Stegostoma tigrinum: one gene and its partner. The protein of the gene in region 2 interacts with the protein of the main gene of each other region in a pairwise test. Links are inferred from orthologs where the notes say so. Each region holds a gene or a part of one and is shown on either strand. Other genes may lie near its edges.

Region 1 (15,800 bases), on a different chromosome or scaffold from region 2:
GGGCAATGTTCTAAGGAAGTGTGCACATTAACAGGTATCTTAATTATATCATAAATGAAAATCAAGTAAAAGCCCCCAAATTAAAACAGACCAAAAGATAACTACAACTATTCATTTACTTTGGAGTACAATGGGTACTTTTGACTTTTGATATGTTGTATTAGAAATTGACTGACCTGGCCTACACTGATCTTTGCATAGATAGTAAATTATGCTGCCAAAAAAAAGGGCATTTTTGTACTGAGCGAACCCAGTATAGACGAAAAAAAGTGTTTTGTTCAGGAATTTTTTCACTGCAGAAGCTTGTGGTACTCCTATGCGTGTAATGAGCTGGTTAAAAAAAAACAAAGTACCTTGTTCTCGCACTATTTTCAGCTGTGCATAAGGCAAACTTTTAAAATTAATAATTCGTTTACAATTTATTTGCAAGTATAAATTATTTCCAATTAAGATTTCAAAATTATGTTTCTCCCAGCAAATTAGTATTCATTGCATTTTCAGAATGCCAGTGTTCCTGAATACATGTGTGTACTTGGTCTTTTACGTAATACTCCAGCTTTCTACCTAAAGTGGCTATAAAGTAAGGAGCATGAATTCATGCACGTAAGTTTTATTCTGACATCAAATGACCTTGACAATCCAGTGACAGCTTTACGAATCAAAGTGGACACCTTATAATGGCACAAGCACCTTCCAGGAATTTCAGCAAACAGAAGCTAAATCCTCAGATGAATTTCTCTGCCAACCACAGGATCATGGAACATTTTCGATAACCTACACTTGTTTGGCCAAGATTGGTTCATTTCCACATAGACTATGAGAATAACCAAGAATATTTTGATTGTAAGTAACCCTAGGTTAGACCATAAAACATACACTCACCATATTAAGGATTACACAAGGTATCACAAAATGTTCTTGGAAACTTATTCCACCAAGTAAGAACACATCTGATTAAATATGGTGAAATTATACATTCAGGAAATACATCTACAGGTGGCAACGTGCACTCTACTGACTGACCAAAGTTCTTTTGACAGTACCTTCCAAACCTGTTATCCCTACCATCTCATGCTCAACAGATGCTTGGGTAGAACACCAGGTCCAAGTTTGTCTCCAAGTCTCATACCATCCTGACTTGGAAATCTATTACCATTTCTTTACTGCATCAAAAGACTGTGATCAGCCTCCACAATCAGCACTGCATGCACTATAGCTATCCAAGGTAGCTCATCATTGCCTTCTCAAAGGACAAGCATGGATGGGCAATATACATGAATTTGCAGTGCCGTTTAACTTACGTTTTAAGAAAAGTGATTTTGAAGCCTTCACTCTTTTTCAAAAATAAAGACACCACGGTATCTTTGATTTAATTGGGGATAAAATTCATCACTTGTGACCAGTTTTCACTTTATCTTCTGGTCTATAGGAAGCAGCTGGTCTTTAATTTCTATCATTCTCTTGTTTCAAGAAACAAAAGCTCTTGGCCCTTTCTGTTCATAAAAAAGTTAAACTGAGCATTAAATCTGGATAACTTTGAAATTACACTTCCAAAGAAGCAAAAAGTTGATTTTTAAAACAATCTATTCCATATCATCCTGTAGGCAACATTTGATCTTCCTGAAACTGTGAAGAGGGTGCATACAAAATTACTTTACAAGAAAATAGGATTGTTGTGACAGAATAAACAAACAGTCATATATAAAAAAATGCAATTAAGTATGAATGTTTTAACATTGAAAACATTGACAAAACCAGGCACACTATAAAGTTCTTCTTGGGTATATGCAAGTTATTGCACACAACAATGCTCTCAGGTTTGGCATGTAGCCATTGACTCCACGCAGAAATTTAAACACTTGAATACATGATTGCACAATATAAACTGTTAGCAGAGATGACCGATAGTCAGATCACTACAACAAATTTCCAAGTTAACTTCAGAATTTTTCTCCCCAAATTTGCCGTTGTCAAAATTAATCGCCTAACAATTAAGGGGGTGTTGCAATTTTTGCTATTGCAGAAATACCAAAATACGTCTGGGAAACACAGCATTGATGACAAACTATTTAAACATGCCCTACTTCTTCCACTACACTATCAGTATTCCCAATAATTGAATTCTGCTGCAATTTAATATCACATTAGTTTCATATTTGAATACAACCAAATAGTCAATTCTGTAACTTTCTTCCTCTCGCCTCATTAAAGAATTCAGTTCAAGATAATTTTAAACTCTTTGCCCATCAAAAGACTAACATAACTTGAGTTATAGTTATTCACACAAAACACCAATAAATTACAGTATCAGTCTACCTAGCTCCTTTTAGGATCATTAATGTCCTGTCTAAAAGCCCAACTATTAACAAAAACTTGTCAAGACATTTCCCAGTCTCCATCTGCATCAAGTACTTTCCACTAAAGTAAAACAAAAAATTATACTGGTCTAAGGAGCACAGGGTTTGCAATAAAGAAGTCAGCAAACTTCCTGAACATAGAAATTTTTGGCAGGATCCTTGCTTCTAACAAGCTATAGGAATGAACTGGCATAACTTGAGAGCTGAACCGATTTTTTTAAAAAATGCCATTGAATAAGTAAGTGTTACATAAATACAAAATCCACTTTAAGTGAGCAGTCAAAATATTGCCCCCAAAATGTATGGTGTAACAAAGTATTTTGAGTTAAATTTGAAAATGTATTGATTGTGTATATTAAGTGACTTGTTCCAATCCAGGGAGTTGGTTAGTTCAGTGTGCTGAACAGCTGACTTGTGATGCAGAGTGATGCTAACAGTATGGGTTCAGTTCCTGCAATGGCTGAGGTTATCATGAAGGACTCTCCTTCTCAACCTGTCTCCCTAACTAAGGCATGTCGACTCTTGCGTTAAACAAATCGGCTGTCTCTCTCTTGAATAAGATAGCAATCCTATAGTCTGGTATGTCCGTGACTATTTTATCTTTACTTCAATACAGTTGCAAGCACAAAACCACCACAAAATGGTGAAGCCATCAACAAACACATACAGCTAGATCCTGTATACACTCCACTGCAAAAGGAAAACTGGAAGTGAGGTGATCCAACTCAACGGACACCAGAGTTTAAACACCAGGTGGGAAAACCTAACAGCGCTTCATTGGAGGCTGCACTGATGTTACCCAGCAGGGTACCGAATCGTCTGCAGAACAACGAACCAGCTCAGTGAGCCAATCAACCACAACATCCACAACCTGAGCTACAAGTCTACTCAAAAACCTTACAAAGCCACGTTGCAATTGGTTTATCAATAAAATTAATCCAAGAAAGGCATATTACAACATTGTTAAAAATCAAAAGATTCATGTCAAAGGTTCAAAATACTACAAACTAAGCTAATAGTATAACTTGGCATTCGTATTTACAGAAGTTCAGGCTGCATCTTAGAACAGATAGCCCAATATTAAAAAGTGCCCAAAATGCACCAGACAATGCATTTAGTAGGATATGTTGGAAGAAGAGAACAATCAATGTCCAACATTTCCGAAATGCCATGCAGTAAAGTTAAAAGTGATCCAGGAAAAAGAAAGAAAAAAGAAAAAAGGAAGTCATGACAGACAAGTTCTCAAAATAATCAGGCCTCAAAGAGGTAGAATCCAATTTTTTCAAGCCACACAAAAGGGCTACTGCTAGCTTCAAAGTCCAGGATATAGGAGATCATTCAGATCCCAACAATCAGCTCGATGAGACAGCCAAACTAGAGACTTAGTGCTAACATACAACTTAGATGAAGTGAAATCTATTCATAAATGTATATTATGTCATACAGTAAGCAAAAATCTCAAGTGTAAACAATACTCAAGTAGTTTACAGTCATCGTTTAGATAGGATATTCAACCAAGATGTCCACCATTGTTTGGACGTATCAGAAAATAAAATAGTGGCTATCATCCCATAAGACCAGTTGGTTCTATTATATTATATTATACTAGATTCCCTAGAAGAATTCTCAAAAGTAAATCATATTCAAGATGCGTTATAACTGAAGTTATTTCAAACTTCATTTTACAAATGGAGATGCAGAGTTTGTTTCCCCCCACGCACCAAAGCAGCAGAGGCAACTATGAAACATACTTAGAAATCTATTTGGTTGATATTCTCCATCCCTCACCCCTCCCACTCCTTTCCATTTACATTCCTAATAGGATACATTAGTATCAACAATCTGCCCTCATAGCTGTACCATTTAAAGCTGCAGCTTTACATGTATACAGCACCTGCACAACTCTACAATTTGGGTTCAAAAAGGCACATTAAGCTTAAAGTTAAATAATCAAATAAGGTGGCAGTCAAGCATTGCAACTAACAAGCAAAGCTCTACTTATTGATATTATGGTTTGGGCATAATTCGATTGACATTCACTTATAATTGATGTCTCTAAGATTGTTATGTTTTGAGACTGCCTTAAACTTAAGGTAAAATGAAGGGGCCATATGATCTGTTTTGAAATCTGCTGATAGCAAGCAGTTTGACCGGGAGACATTAAGTGTGGGGGGGGGGGGGGGGGGGGAAAGCCTCATTGCTGTACTTTCCCAGTAAAACGCAGCAATGTGTTTTTAAAAACTGTCTACAGAGATGTTGAGACACTTTTGGTGCAGGTGGGACTTGGAGAGAGCGGCGTCAGCCTATGTTCAAAGAGTGGATAGAGGGAGGCTTAAGTCCCAGAAAAGTATGAGCGTAGTAAGCAGATATGCATTATACTGTATATTCGTATTGAAGATGGGTGACCTTATAGAGATCTATAAAATCGTAAGAGGTGTAGATAACGTAGATAAGGCAACAGATTTTCCCTATTGGAATGGGTGTCTAAAATTAGGGAGCATAGGTTTAAGGGTCCAGAAGGGCAATTTTTTCCATACAGAAGGCAGTGAGTATCTGCAAAGGCCTGCCAAAGATAGTAGCAGAGACAAGTACAGTTTTGTCATTTAGGAAACATTTAGACAGGCACGTGGATGGGTTGGATAGGCATAGAAGGATATGGACCAAATGGAGACTAATGGGACAAGTTTAATTGTTAAGAGTGGGCAGCATGGATAGGTTGAGACAAAGGGTCTGTTTCCATGCTATAAATTTCTATGACCCTACTGCAGAAAATTAAGAGAATTAAGAACAGATAATCAGCACTTCTAACTTGATTCAAGCCCCACATGATGTGTGTCTGAATGGAAATAGGCTTCAACAGGGGAAGGGTCCAAGTTATTCCTGAAAGTTCTTGACATGGCTAGTCTATCAGGAGAGTGAAACCAGCCACCAGAAAGCTGTTATAGTTCACATAGTAATATGTGTGAAAGCTCATTCTGAGATTACAGACTGAATTCATGAGGAGTTCAAAGCTTGAAGATTTACCCAGCTGGAATCAAGAACCTCTAAAGGGAAAACCTTATTGTGAAAGGCAGCTCACAGCCTGAGAACTTTTCAGCTCAGGAAAAGTACAGAAATAAATACAAACTTGGACTGGCTCCAAGTGAATGCCTACTTAAAGTTCAATATAATGTAAATGGAAAGTGTGCTTTTGCCTTTGTTCTTTTTGGCTTTTACAAAGTCCTAAACAAAAAAGTCTTTACTCTTTTGTTACAGGACAAGCCTTAAAATATGCAAACTTGTCAACGTTTCAACTATTAACTGAAAGTTTAAATGTCTTTTAGAAAAAAGTTATCGCTTGCTCTGGAAATTTAGCAGTTCAGATTTGCTCTTAAATGTGTTCACTGGTAACTTCGAATCTAAAGCATATATCATACCTCAAAACTTTAAACCAATGCTTTTAAAAGGCAAACCAAAGATGACATTAGCCATTTTGACACGTTATGGCATTGCACCAAGCAGAAAATCGATAATTAGCCATTGTCCATGGGGAACCATAAGTATTTCTATCCGCTACAGAGGACTTGCTTTGTTTTTGATTAGAAGGAATTAGGAGAGGGCTGTTGTAGAAAGGAAAATGGCAACAAATACAGTCAAATGAGAGTACTGTAAGGTTGAGTAACAACTATAATGCCTTATACAGGTGCTGTTCCATCCATAGTACCGTTTATGAATGCTAACTAGATTTTCATTTAAAAATTATTTAAAAAGACAGTAAACGTTTCATAGATACAGACAAAATGTACCAACGCTAATGCAGTCGCTTGAGCTGGATCGAACATGGAATTCATTCATCTGGTGGTTTCATGGTAAGTTCACCCAACACGGCCACCACCCGAAAAACAGTACTTAACTTGGTGCAATTCGATGCGTAAATTCTCCTACGTCTATACTGGCAAACGCATATGCACCGTCGATGGCCTGGACTTGAGCAACTTGGTAAAATCAATTAAAAATTCCATTTACAAAAATAAGAGAAAAACTAAAGAGTCCTTTATAGCGTTTTAAAGTGTTGCATCTGACATGGACGTCGGTGTTTCTCGTCACATCTAAAGCAACAAACTGAAAGCTTCTCTGAAGCAGGGGATACAGCGCAAGAGGCAGAGGGAACAGGATTTAGTTCATTTAAAAGCGGCAAGAGTCCATGAAGGCCTAGCCAAACACAACCGAGCCTAATCCTAAGTAATTCTTAGGACAAAAATACACAAATCCCGGGAGAGCAACAGCAAAAAACCAGCCACTCTCTTTCACCGCTCTGTTCTCAGAGGTGAGAAACACTTAATACCTTTTTCTAGGCCAGGGTTACAGCAGCTTCTTCCCTCATTTCTGTCTCCCTCTCTTGCTGTTTTTTTATATCACCGCTGGGATTTTTTCTAAACCTATTTCCAATCCAGCACCAGGGCAACTCCTTTGTGCATGCGCATTACCTGCCGACCGCCAGAGTCCACCGAACTTGCTGGTTTGGCGGGACTCACCGCGCGGATTGGTCCATTCTTCGGAAACCTCCACCATTTTGGAGCGTTGCTAGGGACGACCGCGACTCCGATTGGTTATTTGAACCGTCAATCAGGATACCCCCACCACAAGTTCGGCTGAGCAGGGAGAGGAAAGTTCAGGCGAAAGTAGTTGCCAGATGGTGGTCTCGCTGTAAGCGTCTTGTTGATAAGAGGCGGATAGTCCGTTTGCGTTTGTTCGGGGTGGGGGTGGGAAGAGAAGAGGCCTCTAGCAGTATTACAGCAGGACATGTTTTAGTGACGAAAAAATATAAAAATGTGGCGTAAAAACACGGAGACAAGGCGGTCTCTGACGTCAGATCGTCTCATGGAGTCTGCCCCTTTTTAATTTCCGGCTGAGTTTTTCATACGAAACCCGTGTGTGTTTCGCCGAAATCGTTAGTTCCGGCGGGGGGGAAGGGGGTACGTGTGAACCAAACGTTTCACATAGGACCATGATTTTTTTTGCACTCTTCAGCTTTCAACTGCTGGTCTAGCAATGCTAGCCTACTTTGCTGTCCCTCAAGCAGCTCGGGGCCGGCAGTCCCACAGCCATGTTTGAAAGCGACTGCAGCCTTGCGGATCAATACGGTTACAGCGTGAGAGAATGTACATCATTTATGCTAGTTATAGCTGGGAAGATGCAGCAATGGGCAGTTTAAAAGTTCTGTTTAGATATGTTACGACATGGCTGGAGCAGGTGGGACTTAACGGTAACGACAGCAGCCTGTATTCAGAGTGGATAGAGGGAGTCTTAAATACCAGAAAAGTACTGAGCGGATCAGGTTGTGAATAGATATGAATTACATATGTTCTTAATTCATTACTAAATACCTCACATTCCTGTACGGTTAGATTCATGAACACATTTCTTGAACTCATAATTATTAAGTTCCATCATCAGGTAATAAATTCTGCTTCTGTATCTTGTCCCATCAAGTCTGCTCCACTATTGCATTTGCTTTCCTGGTTGACAACTGCTTTTTAACCTTAGAATCCCGAAATAGGACTCTCAAGTCCTTGTGTGCTTCAGATTTCCAAAAACCTTTCCCCTTTAGAAAACAGTATGCTTATATTCCTACCAAAAGTACATAACCTCACTTTCCCCCATTGCTTGCCATCTGCTATTTCTTTGCCCATTCTTGTAGCCTATCCAAGTCCTTCTACAGCCTCCCCACTTCCACAACACTACCTGTCCCTCCATCATTTGTATCATCTGAAAACCTAGCAAAATGCCCTCCATTTCGTTGTCCTGATCATTAAATATGTCAAAAAACGTGGAACTGAAAAAGCACAGCAAGTCAGACAGCAGCCGAGGAGCAGGAACATTTTGGGCTAAAACCCTTTGTTAGGCTGAAACCCTTTGTCTGGATCCTAAAACATTGACTTGCCTGCTCCTCGGATGCTGTCTGACCTGCAGTGCTTTTCCAGCTCCACATTCACTGACTAGCTTCCAACATCTGCAGTCCTTACTGCCTCCAAGTCGTTAATGTGTAACATGAATAGGTGAGATCCTAAAACTGCTCATAATTGAATGCTGGTTACTATTAACCAATGTTTTAAAAAACATTCAGTAAAAATACACTACTATTGAGTGGTTGGAGCGGACTGTAGACAGCTACAGCAGTAGTAATATACACATGACAAAAAAAAGCTGATAATGAATACTGGAGCCTTGCAAAGTTAGGCACAAAAGTCAAAGTTGCAAATGTAAATACAAACACAAGCTTTGACAAAACTGTCACCTGTCCTACTTTCTCCTTTAACTCTGCTGTTTTTTTGTCTAATTGTTTGTTCATATAGCATCTTAGTACAGTTGTTTCTATAAAAAGCCCAAGCTGGTGGAGGATGGGCAGCACTGGAATACTGGAGTGTCAGAGCAGCAAAAGTTATAGATGTGAGTCGTGGCAAATAAGCTGAAAATGGGCAATGACACAAAAAAAAGACAAATCCGGGAGATAGAAAACAAGGGATCAGAAGCTCTGCGCGAGGTCAGACGGGATGCACAGATTCTGATTCAGCAGCTGATAGATATCATATTACACCTGCAACCAGAACCAGTAGTTTTAATAGCTTTCCTTCAACTTTTAGCTGGCTCGATTTACTTTGGTGTTATCAGAAATTAAATACAGTAGTTCATATTGATTAACATAGGCACTTTATTAGCAATTATAAGCTTACAATTTTACAATACGCATTATTTTGACCACAAAATACTGTCAGTCTTGCCTATAATTAGTGTTTCCTTTTTAAAACAATGGATTTTCCCTTAAATGGGAAACAATACCTTTTACATTTAACATTTCATGCAGAACATATTAAAACCTTGAAACAGGTAAAGTCCATAACAGGAAATTAAGATATGTTCAAATGAATAAAACTTTCAGTTATAGGAAAAAAAAATCCCTCTTAGGGAGTTGTAACAATCTCTTGTCAGCTTCAACTATCAAATGTTCATAGTTTTTTTTAATAAAATGTTTAAAAGGCCACATTGGTATTGACCATCAGCTTTCTGGAGTATAATGATAGGAACAGTTTGTTTAGTATACAGCTGCACAAAAGACAAAGCACTTTGGTAGCCAAACATTCATATTCAACTACTTTGCAAAAATCCATAAGTTCTGAAAGACTGATCAAAATTATCTGGAAATTAGCTCATCGCTGTACAACATTTTGTTTCATCTTCCTCACAAATAAGGCAAGAAGGGTGTTAAATGGAGGAGGGGTGCGGGGTAGAAGTCAGACAGCCAACTTTTCCAACATCAGACTCCTCAGCAGTTATGTCTAAGGCTGGGTTCCCTTTACAATTATCTAGCTAGAGATTGCTGTATGATGGTGAATTTTCTTTGTTCCTGTTCAATCCATTACTTCATTCTAAGTGTGAAATGTTTAACAGGAAACCCAATAATCAGAAGCATATCAAATAAAATTTGAACAATATTTCAATTGCTGTATCCAAAGATAATTTTTTTTCCAGTTTTATATTTAACTGTGATAATCAGGGGTTAATCAGTCATTAAGTAGACAATTGTTGCATTAAGATTGCAAAAGAAAATGAATCTGAATTCAATTTTTTTTGCACAAATATTACTTATTAAAAGTTACATCTACAAAAGCAATTTTAAAACTTTGTGGCTTTAAAGAGGAATGATAAATATTTTGAAAGGATGAATGGTCTATATTGGGATTAAAAATCCTTCAAAAAGCCAATGGAACATCTTATTTAAATTTATTCTCCATGCTTTGTAGTTTTAACAAGGCCTTTTCTAAACATCCAATTCCGAACACTTGGATTAAATTATGCAATTATTTAGCATGAAAGTCAAACACTGGAGGGAAATGTCTAGTGCAATAGGATTAGGGTTAAAGTGAATTAGAGCCAATATTTGCTTCAAAGAGAATTTTGATTTTAAATCTTTAGAAGTATTTATTTAAAATAAAATTAGACAAATGAATAAAAGTACAAATCAAAGAATGACTAGATTAGTTGAGAATAAAAAAGCACTTTTCATTCTCACATTTCATTTACGTATTAACTTCAAATAGACCTGCATATTATACGAGTAAATACATTCTGAAGACTTGTCAAACAAATTGACAACAATCCCTTTTGTTTATTTGTTGTGTTTGGCATTTTAAATCAAATTGAACACAATACGTAATACATATTAGAGCTATGTTAGTATCTTACGACCAAGACATTTGAGCAGAACATATATATACATACACACACACACGGACAGATCATTCAAACTGAAGTTAGTTAAAAAAAAATTTGCCTGGGAACTACTCAACACTTCTGTCTAGTCTGTGCTATGAAGGTCACAAATAAACATACACTCTTAATTACAAAAGCAGAAAATAGCAAACCAGCATAACATATCTTCAGGAAATGGAGCAATGTGATAGTGTTATACCATATTCTCATGCAAACGAAAATTTTATGGATAACTTTTCTAAAATGAATGCTTCAGAGTCCAGGTCATAATTTTACATTTCACACATCAAAACAAATTAGGTTTTAAGTTTAATACAAAAAAAACCTCAACGTAAAAATAGCACCCAAAGAACGTATTCTAAAGTACACATTTGGTCATGCAGGTGCTTTAATCATGCGGCATGTATTAAAATGCTTGATTATTTTTAATTCAATTCTTTCAATTTCTTAAAATTCTGGCTAGCTGTAGAATGTAGTCTTTCAATCAGCTAAAAAAGTGCATTTTTTGCAAAGTAGGAATGTCAAAACATGTTTTTTCCTTCCTTCATTCATTATAACTCAACCTCATGGAAACAAAGTGTTTGCAACTCTTTGAAAAATGGAGTATGACTTATTCTCATCAAGCTGGGAATCCCATTGTTTGGCTTGCCAAAATATATCAATAGGATTTTTAGGAATTACAAGGTGTCCTAGCTTGTGTGATTCAGAAGGATGTAAAGCAGCACAATGATCATAATACACTAGTTGTAGAGTGCTGTACAGAGACCAGGGAGTATTGAACTAAATGCTGAAGTGACCACAATGAATACTTCTGTCAGACTGAAAAATGGGTATTTCGTTCACAGTCATGGCTGTGTATTTAAAAAGTAAGTCTATATGTAAATAATAAACACATATGTATATGCATTTCCAAATAAACACACCAGATATGAAACAAGGCATCTATATTGCATAACAAATGTCTATGAGAAAAAAAAATCACTCAGCTCTTTTTCAAGGGCTTAAATAGTCTCTAATTACAGTAGATGCAATCAATCTCATAAATTTGGTTCTAATTTAAATTTCTTGCAAATGAAAGTAATGGACTTTTTAATAAGAGATAATGGGAACTGCAGATGCTGGAGATTCCAAGATAATAAAATGTGAGGCTGGATGAACACAGCAGGCCAAGCAGCATCTCAGGAGCACAAAAGCTGACGTTTCGGGCCTAGACCCTTCATCAGAGAGGGGGATGTGGGGAGGGAACTGGAATAAATAGGGAGAGAGGGGGAGGCGGACCGAAGATGGAGAGTAAAGAAGATAGGTGGAGAGGGTGTAGGTGGGGAGGTAGGGAGGGGATAGGTCAGTCCAGGGAAGACGGACAGGTCAAGGAGGTGGGATGAGGTTAGTAGGTAGCGGGGGGTGCGGCTTGGGGTGGGAGGAAGGGATGGGTGAGAGGAAGAACCGGTTAGGGAGGCAGAGACAGGTTGGACTGGTTTTGGGATGCAGTGGGTGAGGGGGAAGAGCTGGGCTGGTTGTGTGGTGCAGTGGGGGGAGGGGATGCACTGGGCTGGTTTAGGGATGCAGTAGGGGAAGGGGAGATTTTGAAACTGGTGAAGTCCACATAGATACCATATGGCTGCAGGGTTCCCAGGCGGAATATGAGTTGCTGTTCCTGCAACCTTCGGGTGGCATCATTGTGGCAGTGCAGGATATATTTTTAATAAACCACTTTTCTAGAATATGTCAGTGTGTGTAGGAAAATATCGTCAAATTAAAAGACTTCAGGTATAAATCAAAAATAGGTATTTAAATAACTCAAAACAATGTATGGACTTCAATGCTATGCAAAAACAATCAGTTATGGACTTCAATCTTAATTTTGAAGGTATTATTAAAGCTAAAGATAAATAACTTGCAGAATAAATCAACTAAAAGCATCTGTTTAATGCACATCACTCTACACGTTATGAGTATTGAGCATCAATAGCATGTTTTGCCCTAACTAAAATAAACAGCTAGAGTTAACTGCAAGCTTCAAGTCCTAGGTCTCATTAACTATGCAAATCCTGCTGATTCAATTTTAAGATCATATTAGCATACCGGACAAGAAATTTTATTTTGCATTTTTTAAAAAATAAAGTATCGCTGTGCATCTTGCTAGTTGAAATAGTTTCAGTAAGAAATGGAGTTCACAGCTCTGCCTCTCATCTGCTCATATTTGATGACCTACTTCAAATCAATTACATTTTCCAAAATTAAGATGACTATTTTATACATTCCCAATTGATTTCCATAGGGTGGCTTTTGGGTTTGTTTTTAAATCCCATTGCAAGAGAATTAGCCTGTGTAAATTTGCACCTGATACATATGCTTATTCCAAAACAAAGGTTTGTAAATAACTATTGCTTTGTAATAATTGTTCGATGCAAAAAGTTCATTTTTGTTTCAGTACTCATACATTTTTCAAAACTGTGGCAAATTTTGAAAAAAATGTGCATGTTGCTTACAGTGTCAATAAAATGAGTTTTTGTGATGCTTCAATAAACTAAAAAGGGATGTTTTGCACAGCTTAAAACATGGTGGACATTAAACTGATTTCACCCACAACCTAGAATGTTGAGATATGACTGCAAGCATTCTGATGACCTTCAGTTCTCCTCAGTTCCTGTATTTTAAGATTTCAACCAAACAGCCTTGACAAAGTACGAGTTAACTGATAAATCTTCCCCATTAAAAAATACTGTACGGCCTACAGGTCTTTCACCCATTACTCAGCATCACTGCAGACAAGATTTTACATAAAATGTCCTCGTCTGCTCACTGGCTGATTTTAGCATGTCATCTTCAAAGGCTAAAACATATAAATTCAAGTGCCAATAATTGTACAACTAATTCTAATTTTAACCTTTCTGGGAATTAGCAAAATAAGTTTTAATTGGGACTTAAGGGAGAACTGTACGTGAAAAGCTCATGCATTGAAAGCAAACCTGCGATATTATATGCCTATGGTAACTAATATTTAAACTGAATTTTTTTTTATAATCCAAGGGTCCATGTGCTGTCTACTGAATTTTCAGATGCATCCTTAATGAATAAATTTTACATCGTCATCATTGTCATACCTGCATTTCAACTACGGCAATTAATCAACTGCTTGAGCATTGATAAAATTTATAAGTGCATAAGTCTCTATATTAATGTATTAAAGCAATCCAAGAGATCAGTCATATTCGCGTTGACCAAATATATATTTAGATCCAATTGAACAATGAAATGGAAGTTATTCAGGAAAATATTTTAGTGTTTGTTCTTTAAGCTTTCTCCCTTCCAAAAGAAATAAATTTGATAACAGATATTCAGAGGCTAATGTTTCTGTAATTCTCCAAATTTGAAAACAGAATCTCAGTGACCCAGTGTTAATTGGAAGTTAACAACTGAATAACAACTAATAACACAACTTGCAATGGTGTAGATACTTAGGATAATTTCATCATCAAAAAAAAACCAAGTGTTTAAGGCAAAGGTAATTTCTTCCTGGACAACAATGTCCCCAATGTTGAAAACTTCTCAAAGTACAGATCATTTCTAATTAGAAACACTATAAAGGCACACACCTTATTTTGGGAGCTGCAGCGCAACATTAGAGGTAAGTACACTTCTGAAAAGGGTCACAGCAAACTTAAATAAAGTTCAATACTTTATATATGTTCAGTACGTATAAGGATTTTTTTGGTCCTTTAATTGTTTTCTAATTGCAAGCAAACAAAATAGATCTTGAAAGATATGTGAAAGAAACAGCTTTGATATGGTAGCTGCCATCATGTTGGTCCATTTCTTCTTTTCTTACATAACTACATTAAACGTGATCAAGTAAATTAATTGGTAAGTAAAACCTTACTCCATGATGTGTCAATAGCAGGTATGGTTTCCATGTGAAACAGCACTTGTGTCAATGCCACAGGGAACTACTGATACTTGTCCTATCTAGTTTCTCCTAATGCCCACCACATACCCTTAACACAACTGATTTGACAAAAATAATCCAATTCCTTCAAAGTAAAAACTGAATTAATCAACAAAGGATGAACAAGTTCCAAAAATTTCTTCTCGTTAATTTTGAAAATGCAACTATCTTTATCATTTTCCAATAAACAGTAAACATACTACAGATTAAAATATTCCAGCATTGAATGAGACAACTTGGATTTGTTTTTGATATGGCACAGACAAAGTTTAATTAACTTCATGACAGTTCATAAGTAAAAGTCATCATATCTTGAATCACATTTCCAAGTCAGCATGACCAAGTTGACTAATATCCTGGAATGTTTTTTTCTTCTGTGGTCAAGAAAAGTTGCATATGTAGAACTAATGTCTAACATTACATAAGAAGTTTGTTTCAATTAGGTGTTATGAAAAACCTTCATGCTTGTTAAGTTGAAGGCTTGTTTCCATCAGTTAAGTACAGGATTAGGGGAGGAGTTTTCACATCAGGCAATATCAAGAATGTCAAACAATGTAAATATTTCAAGATTTTTCAGATGACTACAGTTTATATTGGTTAATCATCCATATCACTTGTCATTTAGTATGTCTGCCGTTGTAAATATGTTAAGTATATGGTAAGTTTTCCAAACACAGGCAAAAACTGTATGTTTCAGATTACAATTAATGCAGTGACAGTTTCTCAGCTATTCACTAAATCATACTTTAAGGCCAAAGTATTCATAGTTCAATGTGATAATTACACAAGTTTTAAAAAAAACTGGCTAAGTAAACTTGGCAGAAAGAATGGCTTGTTAAACAGCATGTCAGCTTCAAACTTATGCAAACAATAACAGAAATGATTTGTGCCAAAATAATGGCCCCATAACTGGTGTGATTCAAGATATGAAGGAGCCACTATGTTTCTAAATGTCTCAGTCCTGCTACCCACACTGGAAATCATAATTTTCAAATAATGGTTTTCATTATTGTTAATATCCAGAACAATCTTCCAAATATAATTTTGATTTTATGATAATCTGAGTAGTAACTAGATGTTATTTACCATCACCCCTCCGAACCAGGACTGCGTTAAAGCATATCTGCAATTATGTTCATTACAGATAATCAAGTTTATCCATAAATCGTCTCACAAATTGTTCAAATTCTTGGCTAAATGCACGTTGCCCCCTACAGCACCTGTCCTGAGAAAAAGCACATCCAAAT
Region 2 (15,772 bases):
ATTCTACTAAAACATTTAAAGTACATTAATGTATGAAACATAAGCTGAGTTAGTTGAATTTGCTCCACAAAAGGAGGTAGCATCAATTAAATTATCGAACAGAGACTGTACATACATCTAGCAACACCGTGGTACATTTTCTGGGCTTTGGCTTTACACCGGACAAAAAGTATGAAGCTGCACAAGATCCCTTTTCTGTTTTCGCCACCTTTTCTCTAATGGCATTCTGAGCTAATATTTTTCTGCTGTAATGCTTTCCTAATTTCTATTGTACTAAAGAATAGTTTATATCTGTACAGGGCCTTGGTTAGACCACACCTCAAATATTGTATGCTCTTCTGAGGAAGGATGCTCTTGAGGGAGTGTAACCAAGTTTTACCAGGCTGATTCCAGGGATGGCGGGTCTGGCATATGGAGGAGAGATTGACTAGGTTGGGATTGTTTTTGCAAGAGTTCAGATGAATGAGGTGGGATCTCAGACTTAAAATTTGAACACAACTGGACAGGGTAGATACAGGGAAGATATTCCCAACGGTTGGTGCGCCCAGAACCAGGGGTCACAGTATGACGATGCGGAGATGATTTAGGACGGAGTAGAGGAGACATTTCTTCACCCAAAGAGTGGTGAGCCCGTGGAATTCATTACCGTAGGAAGTAGTTGATACCAAAACAAATGAATGTATTCAAGAGGTGATTAGATATAGCACTTGGGGTGATTGGGATCAAAAGTTATGGGGAGAAAGCAGGATTAGGCGCTTGAGTTGGACGAACAGCCATGACCGTGATGAATGATGGAGCAGGCTTGAAGGGCCAAATGGCCTCCTCCTGCTCCTATCTTCTATGTCTCTATTCAGCAAAATGAAGAAGTGGTTTCTCCTGACACGTATCAAAAAAATTATCATTTTGAGCACCTCAATAAAACATCTCGATTTTTCAATCAATTTCTTGGATTTTTAATTAAAACCTCTCAAAAACTTGATCTCAACCCCAACAAATGACTTTGCAAACACAATCCTAATTGGGAAGGCCACAATTTATCAAATACCATTGCTGCTTTCCCACAGCTGTCAAAATGAAAATGCCACATATCCCATTCTGCAATATTGGAAACTAAAGGATTTAGAAAGGATTCTGAGGGATAAGATTTATGACCATCTGGAAGAGCATGGCTTGATCAAATACAGTCAACACGGCTTTGTGAGGGGTAGGTCATGCCTTACAAACCTTATCGAGTTTTTTGAGGATGTGACTAGTAAGGTTGATGAGGGTCAAGCTGTGGATGTGGTGTATATGGACTTCAGTAAGGCATTTGATAAGGTTCCCCATGGAAGGCTCATTCAGAAGGTCAGGAGGAATGGGATACAGGGGAACTTAGCTGCTTGGATACAGAATTGGCTGGCCAACAGAAGACAGCGAGTGGTAGTAGAAGGAAAATATTCTGCCTGGAAGTCAGTGGTGAGTGGGGTTCCACAGGGCTCTGTCCTTGGGCCTCTACTGTTTGTAATTTTTATTAATGACTTGGACGAGGGAATTGAAGGATGGGTCAGCAAGTTTGCAGACGACACAAAGGTCGGAGGTGTCGTTGACAGTGTAGAGGGCTGTTGTAGGCTGCAGCGGGACATTGACAGGATGCAGAGATGGGCTGAGAGGTGGCAGATGGAGTTCAACCTGGATAAATGCGAGGTGATGCATTTTGGAAGGTCGAATTTGAAAGCTGAGTACAGGATTAAGGATAGGATTCTTGGCAGCGTGGAGGAACAGAGGGATCTTGGTGTGCAGATACATAGATCCCTTAAAATGGCCACCCAAGTGGACAGGGTTGTTAAGAAAGCATATGGTGTTTTGGCTTTCATTAACAGGGGGATTGAGTTTAAGAGTCGTGAGATCTTGTTGCAGCTCTATAAAACTTTGGTTAGACCGCACTTGGAATACTGCGTCCAGTTCTGGGCGCCCTATTATAGGAAAGATGTGGATGCTTTGGAGAGGGTTCAGAGGAGGTTTACCAGGATGCTGCCTGGACTGGAGGGCTTATCTTATGAAGAGAGGTTGACTGAGCTCGGTCTCTTTTCATTGGAGAAAAGGAGGAGGAGAGGGGACCTAATTGAGGTATACAAGATAATGAGAGGCATAGATAGAGTCGATAGCCAGAGACTATTTCCCAGGGCAGAAATGGCTAGCACGAGGGGTCATAGTTTTAAGCTGGTTGGTGGAAAGTATAGAGGGGATGTCAGAGGCAGGTTCTTTACGCAGAGAGTTGTGAGAGCATGGAATGCGTTGCCAGCAGCAGTTGTGGAAGCAAGGTCATTGGGGTCATTTAAGAGACTGCTGGACATGCATATGGTCACAGAAATTTGAGGGTGCATCCATGAGGATCAATGGTCGGCACAACATTGTGGGCTGAAGGGCCTGTTCTGTGCTGTACTGTTCTATGTTCTATGTTCTATGTTCTAAAGTTAACACGCTACACAATATCCATTGCACGATAAAAGTCAAAATACAGCATGACGAATGCAACTGCTGGCAAAACTAGCTCCAATGATACTACTGTTCATTTTCCTGGATCAATTAAACTCACTTAAGCTGCTCACTACTTTCTCAAAAGTAGAAACTTATCCTGGCAACAGGTTTGAAAGATATCCACAGTCCCCAGAAAAGTCCCCTCTTTTCTTGACAATAATTAGTCACCGTTATTTACTCGGTTGCTGCTATTTTGTATGAGAAAATATTGAAGGTTTATCCATCTTTTTATATAATTCATACTTGAACATGTCCACCCTTCTAAAACAAATAATGCATTGAGTCAAGATCTGGTCACAATGGAGAATGAATACGGTAGTCTCTATGGCATTATATCACCATTTATACACAACAGCATAGGAACAGGATCATAGATCCACCAAACTTGTGCCAATTCCTAATCCTTACTTAGACCCATTACTAACTATCCATGCACAGTATCTATCCTGCTGTTTGCCTCTCACTCATGTGTCTGTCAAGATAAGCCAGAAGCATTGCTAGTGGGCCTGCTTCCACCACTGCCAGAGGTAGTGCATTCCAGGCATCCTAAAATGAAAACTTTTCTTGATAAACAACCCACCCTTCTCACTGTGAACCTCTGCCCTCTTGTAGTTGAACTTTCCACCCTGGGGAAAATACCTCCGGCAATCCACCTTATCTACGTCTAGAGAATTGAGAGGCATTGATCAGGTCACCCCCTCATCTCCCATCTTTTCAGTAAAACAATTTTGAGTTTATCCAACTTTTCCTCAATTGCAAACCTCCAGACCAGGCAGCATCATTTCCAAAGCATTCATATACTTCTGCAAGTGTGGCGATCAGAACTGCACGCAACATTCCAAATATGACCTCAAGTTTTGTACAGTTTTAACATAACCTGCCTATCTTCATGTTCGATGCCCCCAGTCATTGAAAGCAAGCATCCTGTATGCCATCTTGACCATCTTATACACCAGGATTGCCACTTTCAGGGATCGGTGGACCAGTATGCCCAGATCCCTTTGTACGTTAAACGTTCCTGAGGGTTCACACCAAATATAGTTTGCACCTAAATTTTATCTTCCAAAATGCATCACCTCTCATTTGTCCAGATTTTCCATCTGCCATTCCTCTGCCCAAAAACCAAATCTGCAACTTATATCCCACAGTATCCTCCTCACTACCTGAAATTGCGTCAAACTTGGCATCATCCGAAAACTTACTGATCAGATAACCTATAATTTCTTCCAGATCATTTAATTATATTACAAAGGTGCCAGCACTGATCCCTGCACAACACCACTAGTCACTGATCTCCGTTCTGAAAAGTACCCTTCCACTGCTACTGTGTATAACCAAGCCACTTTTGTATCAATCCAGCCAGTTCACCCCTGATCCCAGGAGACTATGTTTTGTACCAGCCTGCCATGAGGACCAGATCATATGCCTTACTAAAGTCCATGCAGACAACATCCACTGAGCTTCCCTCAAATCATTCTTTGATTTACATATTAAACTCTTAAAACAGTGAGAGAGCCAGAATCACCAAATCCAAGGTCCACTATTTAATTAAGCACTCATCCTGAAGTCACTAGCCTGAACTATATAGATTTTAGAAATCTTACATGCTGTCAGGTTAGGGTGGACAGAAAGCGGCAGGACTGAATCTATCCAAATCATTGACCAGTTTCCTATTCAGGCAAGCACAACTGCACTTGACTGAATTGCCACTCCTTGACTCAAAAAGCACATCAGGCTTCACAATTCAATAGCCATTTCTTGTGAGAACTGGAGTGCTAACATATACCTATACAAATCACTAATTTTGCATGGGGAAAAAAAAGTTTTAACACTTGAACCCACTTGAAAAGTTGCACACTTCTAATTTGAAATTCTGATTGCAGTGCTGCCTTGGTAAAGACTTAAGTGTTAAGTACACAATTACTGCTTCAGTTAAGCATGTTAAGGGCATTAAAATTAGCATGTATTTATTGAAAATAAACTACTGTAACCATAGATACATATTAAATGTCTCATATTTGAAAGGGAAAGAAGAGAAGAGTGTGGAACTTAACTCAGGAAACCCTGAAGGACCAACTCTTGACTCCCTTCAGTGCTGTTATGCAAAAAAAAAATCAAAATTTACATCAAAGCCGGCCACACACTATTCTACCTCACAACCACCTCTTGAAGTTCTCTACTTTCTTTGATTTGTCACACTGCTTGTTTGACATTGAATTTTGGATGAGCAAACATTTCCTTCAATTAAATGTTACACAACTGAAGTCACTATCTTTGGTTCCCACAAACACCTTTTTTTGACAGCCAGTTTAACCCTTCCAACTGCCTGCAGAAGACGGCCATTCACAACCTTAGCTGTACTTGATCCTGGAGATGAATTTCCGATTACATAGGTTTACTATCACAAAAATTTCAACCTCTGTTAAATCACTCAATTTCAATCCTGCCTCAGTTCACCTGCTGCTGAAAAGTCAATTTTAGCCTTTAGCTTTTCTAGATTTACCTACTTTAACCCTTGAATGACTAGCCTCCAAACTTACAATCCTACAAACACATCTGTTGCTTGTATGCTGACCATGCAAATCTCTCCTTCATCCCTGTGCTAGCTGACTTTCATTGCCTTTCAATGAAACACCTCAGTTTGAACACTCATTTTTCAAACCTCTATGAGATCTGGAACATTGTTATTAATCATTCACAAGATTTAGGATTGGTGGCTAGGCCAGCAGTTATTACCCATAAGTATCACCCTGAGGAAGATGGAGTTGCTTTCTTGAACTGCCTCAGTCCATGTGTTGTAGGTACATCCACGATGCTGTTAGGGAGGGATTCCAGGATGTTTACATAGTGACAGCAAAGGAACAACTGCACACACCCAGCCAAGCACAAACTGTTGCATCACACTTCAGACATGTGAATAGGCAGTGGAAGGCAATGGATGACTTACATGCTACAGAATTCCCAATCTCTGACCTGTTCTTGTAGCTATGTTATTTATATGGCTGCTTCAATTCAGTTTCTGGTCAATGGTAAATTCCAGGATGTTTATCTTCCAAAATGCATCACCTCTCATTTGTCCAGATTATTAGTATTATCACCACAGAATTCTGGCACTAATGAGCCAATCAATGTGGCATCCAGCATTACAAGGCCAAAGGTATGAATGCTCTTCTAATTCTGGCCTCTTGAACAACGCTAATTTTACATGTTCCAAGATTAGCAGACATGCTGCACCTCTGTTCCACTCCTGCTTATGTTTGTCCTGAAAAACCCCCCTCTTTGGTTAAGCATTTGGTCATCTGCTCTGATACCTCCTTCAGTAGCTTGGTGTTGTTATTGCTCCAGATCTTGTACAGCAATTAATGCAGCATGTAAATGCTGGTGGCTGTTGCTGCTAACTTCTGGCAGTTACTCTACCTCCACCCCAAATGTGTTCAAAGAGCAGGCAATATTTTACCTCAACATTTCAAACATAAGTTTGAAGACCAGAACAAACATCATTCCCTTAGCCAAAGGAATCTAACTTCCATCAGGTGAGTAGAAAGAAAGCAGCAAGATAACACATAACTACAATATCAGCGATAACACAACATGCAGCTGGAGCAGCACAGCAGGCCAGACAGCAAAGGTGCAGGAAAGTTGACTTTTCAGGTCAGGACCCTGATGAATCAGGATAACAAAGTGTGAAGCTGGATGAACACAGCAGGCCAAGCAGCATCTCACGAGTCTAGGCCCGAAACATCAGCTTTTGTGCTCCTGAGATGCTGCTTGGCCTGCTGTGTTCATCCAGCTTCACACTTTGTTATCTTGGATTCTCCAGCATCTGCAGTTCGCATTATCCCTTATGAATCAGCTTTGTTTTTGTCTCCTCCTACAATACCTCATCAACTAAGAACTTTTTAGCCTTCAGGTACAACTTGAATCTTAGGTAAGTCGCAGGGTGCTTTAGTGATCAAGGCAACTTCAGATTCTTGAAATACCTGCAGTGCAAAAACTTTGGGTTTACGTGCCCATTTTCAGGACAGACTTCCAAGTTCAACAAAATTGCCATTCCCCGATCAGTCTACCAGAAGCACACTTTGTGCCAAGGAAGGATCCTTCGCCAGCGTCCCTTCTCACTTGCAGCTCCCACACAAGAAAAGTGTTCTACTCCCCAAAGCTTCAGGGGTAAGTGTGAGCCAAGTAAAAGCTGGTTATGATCTCAAATCAAATCAGACCCACAGCACAATACCACGGGATTATTCCTGAACAAGTTGTATACACAACACCAATACCCAGTTTCCAATTAAGTTACTAATTTACAAGTGTGACTACACTGCAAAAGCAATTAATTGGCTATAGTACTTTGGGACATCCTGATGTTGTGGAAGGCATCAAAATGACCTTTCATAGCCAGACCCATTTAACAAAAGACTCTGAACAAGACTAAGGTTAATACATTATTACTGGTGAGATGCTCATTTCCTATCACGCAAGAATCAATTTAAAACTTAGACTGCTTAACTAACTAAATTTCGGAATGGTAGATCAATTGTCACCTGCCATTGTCCACATAGCTACCACCAAGATCATAAGGTTAAAAGCATATCAACCTGAACAAATCAATCCACAATAATTTGCTTGTCCAATCTTCTCTCTACATAGAGAGAATTACAAAAAGGCACAAAGATTTAGAGGACATATTGCAGGATTCAAATTAGTGAAACTAAACTATTGCATATTATACTATGGAAACAGGATGGCACAAACCATGAGCAGCAATACAACGAACATTTAGCAAACTTACGGTAATGACAGCTTTGCTTAGACAGATTGATCCCCTACAACCGTATTCGGTTTCATCCTCCGATTTGTAGTAACTCAAAGTGTTGGTTTTTAAAACCACCCATCGGTCCTGCCACCCATGGATATAGTTGGTCCACTGAAAAGACGTTAAAACAAATTAGTAATACGATACTAAGATATACGTTAGATTGGATTCTACTACGCAGAACGTTCAAAATGTTTCATTTCGTATAAAACTGATTTATAATCCCTTGGAAAAGCGCCCCTCCACTCAGCCAGCCAGCCACTCGATTCAAGTGTAAACGGCAGAGGGCTGAATGTATTCCTCACTCTAGCGTCGGTGTTGCAACAAAACGAACACGCCCGCGTTCACAGTAAAGTTTTGATGCAAAAGCAAAAGCTCTGGCATATCGGCCAGCACCGGGTCCACGAACACTTTGGACTCGGGGTTAAAGAGAGCACATACACCAGAAAACAACTTTAACTCCAGCACACAAACACTACGCACGGAGCTGTCAAAAAAACACTGCTTTCGTTATTTTAAAGATACCAAGCTGTACACAACAAGCAAGAGTGAAGTTCTGCGTTTGTGACGGCTCCCATTTTTCATAACTTTCCCTCTAATATTACACCATCTGTAATTAATCAGCTAGTGAGTAGCTGGGACTGAGCGACAGGCCGCGGAGATCCGGCCGTTGCCTCTCCGTTACCGGGGGACAGGGAGAAGCTTGCCAAGAAGTTTAACGGAATATCAACGGGGTCCCGGGGGAGCAGGTCTCACAGCGGGATGAAGACTCTGATTGACTAGGCAAAGCACTTCTCCTCGGGGGGTTTGGGGAGAGGGAAAGCGTGGGTTGCACAATCCCGACGGAAGGGAGTTGAGGGTGGAGGAGGAGGACTTAAGGACAAGTTCTGTTAAACGAGGGAGTCCGGGGTGGTGGAAGCCGCGGGCCCCAGCCCCGAGCTCACCTTGCTCAGTATCCCGCACAGCTCAACAGGCGGCCCGGACTCGGTGTCCAGATCCTCTTCGGAGGAAGAATTCCAGCTCTGGTTATCCGACATTGAGAGAGACAGGAACGAAGTGACGGTCCGATTGGGGGAGGGAAAAGGGGAGGCAGGGGCGGGAAGGGAAAGGAAAGGGAAGGCACTAACAGCTCCGGCTCCGGTTGTTGCTTTTCCACTCCTCACTGGCACTTGAAGCTCAGAGCACCACCATTTTGGTGACGTCAGCCTCCGAGTGCTCGGACGAGCGGGCACGCGCAGAAAGGGGGCGGCGCCGGGAGCGCGCCGAATTGTGAGGGGGCGGGGAACGCGAGGCGGTGCTGAGAGAGCGGTTGCTCACGCTGGACGGGGGCGGCGAGGCACTGGGCATTTATTATTACAACGCTAAGTGAAAGTGCCGGCCACTTTTCCCTCGGTGAGGGAACAAGGAAAAGATACGTGTCATTCCCCCAACCCCTTGTCACTTTTATCAACCTACAAGGAGCTCACAAAAAGCCGAGCGCAAAATGCCGTTGTTGTGTTGAGGTGAGGTGAGGAGGGGGGATTGTTTCTGTTGGTGGGAGCATCAAAAACCAAGATGACCACCCGGTTGTTGGCAAAAGAAGTGGTATGAGGAGAAAAAAAGCTTTTGGACATTTTTGGTGCTGTGACAATGTAATGCCTTTGGATCAGTTGGCCCACGTTCACGCCTTATCAGCACCAGAGTTATGTAATAACATCTCTGAACAAGTTGATTAGAAGAATAGGTTTAAAAGCGCCAAGGAGTATAAGGAGACAACACAGAGCGGAACTGGAGGAACACAGCAGGTCAGGCAGCATTAGAGGAGCAGGAAAGTCGACGTTTTGGGCGGGGACCCTTCTTTAGAACTGAGTTTGGATGCTGCCCGACCTACGGTTTCCTCCAGCTCTACACTGTTGTCTCTGACTCCAACATCTGCAGTTATTGCTATCTACGAGACATATCAAGATATGGGCAGAGGTAGTTGGAACTGCCGATGCTGGAGAATCTGAGGTAACACGGTGTGAGGCTGGATGAACACAGCAGTCCAAGCAGCATCAGAGATGCAGGAAAGCTTGATGTTTCCGGTCTGCACCCTTCTTCAGAAAAATATTTAAAGATATGGGCAGATGGGATTAGAATAGCCAAGCGGTTATTTTTCAACTGATGTGGACTGGATTCGCTAAAGGGCCTTTTCCTATGTTGAAGACCTCTGTGTCAACAACACAGCCAGGAGATAGGATATGGAATTTGCTTAGTGAAAATGGTAGTTTTCAAAAGAGAACTGGAGAACTATCAGAAGATGAACGATTTACAGAGCTATGGCGGGAAATGGTGCTAAGTCAACTGCACTTACAGGAAGCCAGCACAGAGACAATGGGCCAAATGCCTTCTTTCTATGCTGTCCTTTCTGTGATTTGCTGTCAATTAGTTTTTCGGTCTCTACTTTGGGTTGTGGAAGGCTGTGTTTACTCCATAAATGCTCACCTTTGTTTTGACCGATAAAATTCAAAGTATTGCAAACAATAGGCAATAGGCAGGGAACAAATACAACACTGCAAACAAATTCTGTGTAGCAGTGTTTCTATGAAAAGTGTCAATCAAATAAATGGACAATTTATAAAACTAAAATATTACAGATGCTGGAAATTGGAACTAAAAGAGAAGATGTGGGAAAGTTTCACCAGGTTTGTCAACATCCTTGCGGAGAGAAACAATGAAGGTTTCAATTCGATGATCTTTCATCACACCTGTGAAAAGTTGAAGAACCTCAGGGGTGTTACAGTGCAGAAGAAGGCCATTCAGCCCATCACATCTGCACCAGCTCTCCAAATGAGTACCTCATCTACTACCGTTCTCCTGCCTTCTCCCTGTAACCATGTATGTTCTTCCTTTGAAAAGAAACTATCTAATTCCTCTATCAATTGAATCTGCATTCACTGAGTTTTCAGGCAATGTGATCCAGATCCTAATCACTTGCTACATGGAAAAGCTTTTCCTCTTTTTTTTTATTTCTTTTACTCGTTACTTTTAATCTGTGCTGTTTCATTTTTGATCATTTCTTGAATGGCAACATTTTCTCCCTAGTCACTCTCTAGATCTCTCATGACTTTGAATACTTCAATGAAGTTTTCTCAAGGAGACAAGTCCCAGATTCTCTTATTTACATGGCTGAAGTTCTCCTCATCCCTGGAATCATTCTTGTAAACCTCCCTCTCTCCAATATACTGTCTCTCATGTAGTCACATCCTTTATAAAGAGTAGCACTGAGACCTGGATTCAATACTCCACCTGAGGCTAAATTAGTGACTGATATAAGTTGAATGTAACCTTCTTGCTGTTGTACTCTATGCACCTATTAGTAAAGCCCAGCATATTGAATGCTTTATTAACTGCTTTTTCAATCTGTTCTACAACACTTAATGACTTATGCACCCCACTACTTTTGTTCTGCGCACCTTAATTTTATGTCATCTGCATGTTCTTCGACAAAAATGTATCATCTCACTCTCCTCTGATTTGAATCTCAATTGCCACTTACCTGTCCACACCACCGACTTGCCTTTGTTGATTTAAAGATCTGCACTATCCACAAAGTTTAGATTCTTCCAGATTTTGTCTCATCTACAACTTTTAAAATTTTGCCCTATAAACCAAAATTTGAATTATTAGTAAATATCAGAAAGGGTAATGTTCAAAACGTTGACCTACAACAAATGTTCCCCAAAAGAATCATCATTAACCAGTGATAGTTGGAACTGCAGATGCTGGAGAATCTGAGATAACAAGGTGTAGAGCTGGATGAACATGCAGGCCACACAGCATCAGAGGAGCAGGAAACTGGAGCACCTGGAGGAAACCCACACAGACACAGGGAGAATCGGTCTAGGCCCGAAGCGTCAGCTTTCCTGCTCCTCCGATGCTGCTTGGCTGCTGTGTTCATCCAGCTCTGCACCATGTTATTCTTAACAGTAACCAGTGTTCTTTTTCCTATCATTCAGCCAATGTTAGTTCCATGTTACAATTTATTCCATGAGCTCTAACTTTGTTTAAAAGTATGTTGTGCTGCACTGCATCAAATATTTTCTGAAAGTCCATGTACACCACAGCACAACATCAGCTTAACCAATTGTTTCATTTTTATACAAACAGAGAAAATAGGAACAGGAATAGGTAATTTCACCCTTCAAATCTGCTGCATTGTTTGTGATCATCATGGCTGATCACCCAACTCAATAGCCTGTGACTGCTTTTCCGACATATCATTTGATCTCTTTGTCCCTAAGTACTACATGCGTCTCCTTCTTGCAATCATACAATATCTTGGACTCGACTGCTTTCTGTGGTCGTGAATTCCACAGGCTCACCATTATCTGAGTGAAGAAATTTCTCCTCATTGCAGTGCTGTGTTTAACCTATAATCTTAGACTAGTTCTGGACTCCTGTATCTACCCTATCTAGTCCTGTTAGAATTTTACAGGTTTCTGTGAGATTCTCCCTCATTCTTCAGAACTCCACTGAAGGTAATCCTAAATGATTCAACCTCTCCTCAAATGTCAGGCCTGTCGTACCCAGATAAATCTTCACTGCCCTCCATCTATAGAAAGATCATCCTTTCTCATATACAGAGTCCAAAACCACACATATATTTCAGATGTTGTCTCATAAAGGCCCTGTACAATTGCAGCAAGACATTATTGCTCCTGTACGAAATCCTCTCACCATTGAGGTCAATGCACTATTTACTTTCTTTAGCTTACTGGACCTGAAAGCTTACTTTCAGCAACTGGTGTATGAAGGCAGTTTATATCCATACAGATCATCGTCTGCTTTCCTGTTTTTGGTACCAAAATGGACAACCTCACATTTATCAATGTCGTACTGCATCTGTCATGCATTTGCTCACTCGCTTCACTTGTCCAAATTGCACCGAAGGATATCTGTGGTGCGGCACGGTGGCTCAGTGGTTAGGACTGCTGCCTAACAGTGCCGGCCCGGGTTTGATTCCACCCTCGGGTGACTGTCTGCATGGAATTTGCACATTCTCCCCGTGTCTGTGTGGGTTTCCTCCAGGTGCTCCACTCCCACAGACCAAAGATGTACACGCTAGGTAGATTGGCCATGCTAAATTACCCTGTAGTGTTCAGAGAAGTGTAGATTTGGTGGGTTTTTGGGGTCCGGGTCTGAGTGAGATGCTCTGAGGGTCAGTGTGGACTTGTTGGGCCGAAGGGCCTGTTTCCACACTGTAGTGATTCAATGATTCTCAGCATCCACGTTACTGATGTCTCTCCTATCCTGCTTTGCATCACCTGCAAATTTGGAGATATTACATTTAGCTCGCTCATCCAAATCATTAATATATATTGAAAATAGGGGTCCTAGCAGTGATCACTGCGGTATCCCACTAGTTGCAGAACAAAACCCGTTTATTCCTATTCTTTATTTCCTGCCTGCCTTCCAGTTTTCTATCCATCTCAATATACTGCCCATTATCCCATATACTTTAATTTTACACACTAATCTCATATGTGGGACTTTATTGAAAGCCTCTGAAGGTTCAAGTAAACCACTGGATTCCCCATTAATTCTCGAAAAATTTAATAGAATTGTCAAGCATGACTTTCCTTTCATGAATCTATGCTGAGTCTGTCCAATCCAGCCACTGTCTTCCAAATACCTAGCTGTGAATCCATTTATAATGGATCTTAGTATTTTCCCACTACTGACATCATGCTGAATGGTTTATAATTCCTGGTATTCCTGCTGCCTCCCTTTTCGAAATTTCTCAAAACTAGCAAAGACAAAGGAAACTGAATTAACTCCATAGAGGTTGGTATCCCATCACTAAATCACCCTTTATTTACACGTGGAGAACCCTTGACACTGGTTCAACTCCCTCAGCCCCAGCTCTGAGAGTAAACAGAACCTCTGACACTCCTGTTTATTTCTTTCAGCCAGCACTCCCCGATTGGACCAGATTAACAGCCCCAGTCAGGGAACTCATACTTAATATAGTCCACCTCGCCGACCTTCTTATAATCACAACAGAAACAAAGTTGCTCCAGGAGTCATGATCTAATATAGTTGAACTGAAATTCGAGTCCAGAGTCTGGAAAGTACCCATGCAAAAGATTAGGTACCATCCCTCAAGATTGGTTTGAATTTGCAAACCATATAAAACTCACATAATTAATATTATTGTTACCAAACATTCTGTTTCCCTCCTATGAGGAAAAATCAATGTAGTTCCTGTTCTGCTACTTCTGGTTCAAAGGTTTGAATATGATCACTGTGCCACAAAAGCCCTAACTGGTAGAGTTTTTACGCTTGATTGTGTTATTATCATCTTTTCTACCTCCTAGTGGTCTCTTTGTTGACTTACTGTACATTTCAAGCTTTCAGCATCAGTTTTCTTAAAAGCATTGAATGTAATATGTGTCTATATATGCTGGAATCAGCCAGGGATAACCTGTAGGTAATCTATTCTAAAAAAAAAGTCAACCCAGAATTTTCTACAGTGGAGCATATAAAGGTTAATGCTACAAGTTGAATCTTTTTCCTCATCCTTTCCTCAGTTAGTTTTGTGCTCCACATGAGTGTAAGTGTAGGCTGATCCTGTGAGGACAATGGGGGATCTGGGGCCTTGGTGAACCATTGGACAAATAAATTTATTCCTTATCCAGTGAAACTTAAGAACGGAGAAATGACAGTGAATAATGGAGAAGCAGATGGGGTAAATTAGAACCAAACTAGATGCAGATAAGTGGAAAGAGAAAAAAAATTAAAATTGAAAAAAAGAGACATTTAACCACAATTTACTACCTGCTGGAAGGAGAGTCCACAGTTTAAATTATCACTTTTCAGGGCCAGCCAGATGATAAGGCAAAACATGAACTTAAATATTGTCATAAAAGGGACTTTGAAATTGCAGCCCCTAATCTTTTAGGATGAGCATAGTTCATTTTTACAAATCAAATGCCAGCAATTTCTTGACAATAGTAAGGTGGTGAACTGTGAACTCTGCCAATGACCACAGTCATTGTGGTGTTAATTCATTTAATCTAGTGCAGCAGAGATAATCTAAGTGAGTTCTCTTCCTTCAGAGAGGAAAACTGAATTTGGGTTTCTGCTCCTGACATATCCATTTATTTATTTGATGAAATATGCTAATATAGACGTTGGGTGATATTACATTGACGCACAATATATAGTTCACCTTTAACAGCCATGTCCACATTTATACTTCATGTTAGCCTCCTTCTATGTTTCCTAGTTGTATTAGGTTAATGCTGTTTATTATCACCATGAAACTGCACACTAAATTTAGACCATTTTGCTTTAACCACTTCCTGTGGCAGCGATTCCACATCCTTGCTATTCATTTGCATGGGAAGTGTTGTTAGAAGAGCATGGGCAAGTTAGTTAAGTGTTACTTATTGAATGTAAATATTGCTGCAGTTTTGAATTTGTGGAATGATTGAATGTTTGTGCTGGATGTGGTGCTAATGAAGCAGCTTTGTCCTGAATCAAGATGAGCTTTTTGAATAAGATAACAAAGTGTGAAGCTGGATGAACTCAGCAGGCCGAGCAGCATCTCAGGAGCACAAAAGCTGACGTTTCAGGCCTAGACCCTTAAGAACGGAGAAATGACAGTGAATAATGGAGAAGCAGATGGGCTAAATTAGAACCAAACTAGATGCAGATAAATGGAAGAAAAATCAATGGTGGAAAGAGAAAAAAATTAAAAGTGAAAAAAAGAGACATTTAACCACATGCTAGTGGGAACTGCAGATGCTGGAGAATCCAAGATAACAACCCTCTCTGATGAAGGGTCTAGGCCCGAAACGTCAGCTTTTGTGCACCTGAGATGCTGCTTGGCCTGCTGTGTTCATCCAGCTTCACACTTTGTTATCTCAGACATTTAACCACAATTTACTACCTGCTGGAAGGAGAGCCCACAGTTTAAATTAAATTATCACTTCTCCAGCATCTGCAGTTCCCATTATCTCTGAGCTTTTTGAATGTTAGTTGGAGCTTCACTTGGCCACACAATGCAGGGTATTCCATGACACAGCGACACTTATGCCTTGTCAATGTGTCAGTCTTCAGAGAATTAGGGGCAATGTATTTGCTGTAGAAATCCTAACCTCTGACTTGTTTAGCTCTGATGAAGTGTTATGTAGACTTGAAATGCTAGCTCACTGTCTTTTCATGGATGCTGCCTGACCCGGTGTGATCTCCAGCATTTGTTGTTTTCCTTACTTTTCCTTTTCTTGTGATTCCTATGTAGTGTAATTCCTGTAGTTTTGGTAGAAGTGGAAGCAAGTCACTGCTATTCAATAGGAGGTGGTAGTGTAGTTGTAGTGTTTCTGGAATAGTAATCTAGAACCTCAGGCCAATGTTCTGGGAACAATGACGAATGAAGAAATTTGAATTTAGTTGAAAATCTGGGAATTAAAAAATGCTAGC

Evidence for each region.
Region 1: the proteins of ceramide transfer protein (region 2) and casein kinase I interact in binary tests that used the Homo sapiens proteins (3 or more experiments, as listed by UniProt). The two-hybrid records come from large-scale screens. The link is inferred for Stegostoma tigrinum from reciprocal best matches to the Homo sapiens genes CERT1 and CSNK1G2.

Annotation. Positions count from the first base shown.
Region 1 is NC_081383.1:18,637,492-18,653,291, reverse strand, and holds the start of casein kinase I, read right to left. Parts: upstream 6,822-15,800; 5' UTR 6,682-6,821; intron 1-6,681. UniProt on the Homo sapiens protein: Serine/threonine-protein kinase. Casein kinases are operationally defined by their preferential utilization of acidic proteins such as caseins as substrates. It can phosphorylate a large number of proteins. Participates in Wnt signaling.
Region 2 is NC_081356.1:105,099,957-105,115,728, forward strand, and holds the start of ceramide transfer protein, read right to left. Parts: upstream 8,548-15,772; 5' UTR 8,365-8,547; coding exon 8,272-8,364; intron 7,439-8,271; coding exon 7,304-7,438; intron 1-7,303. UniProt on the Homo sapiens protein: Shelters ceramides and diacylglycerol lipids inside its START domain and mediates the intracellular trafficking of ceramides and diacylglycerol lipids in a non-vesicular manner.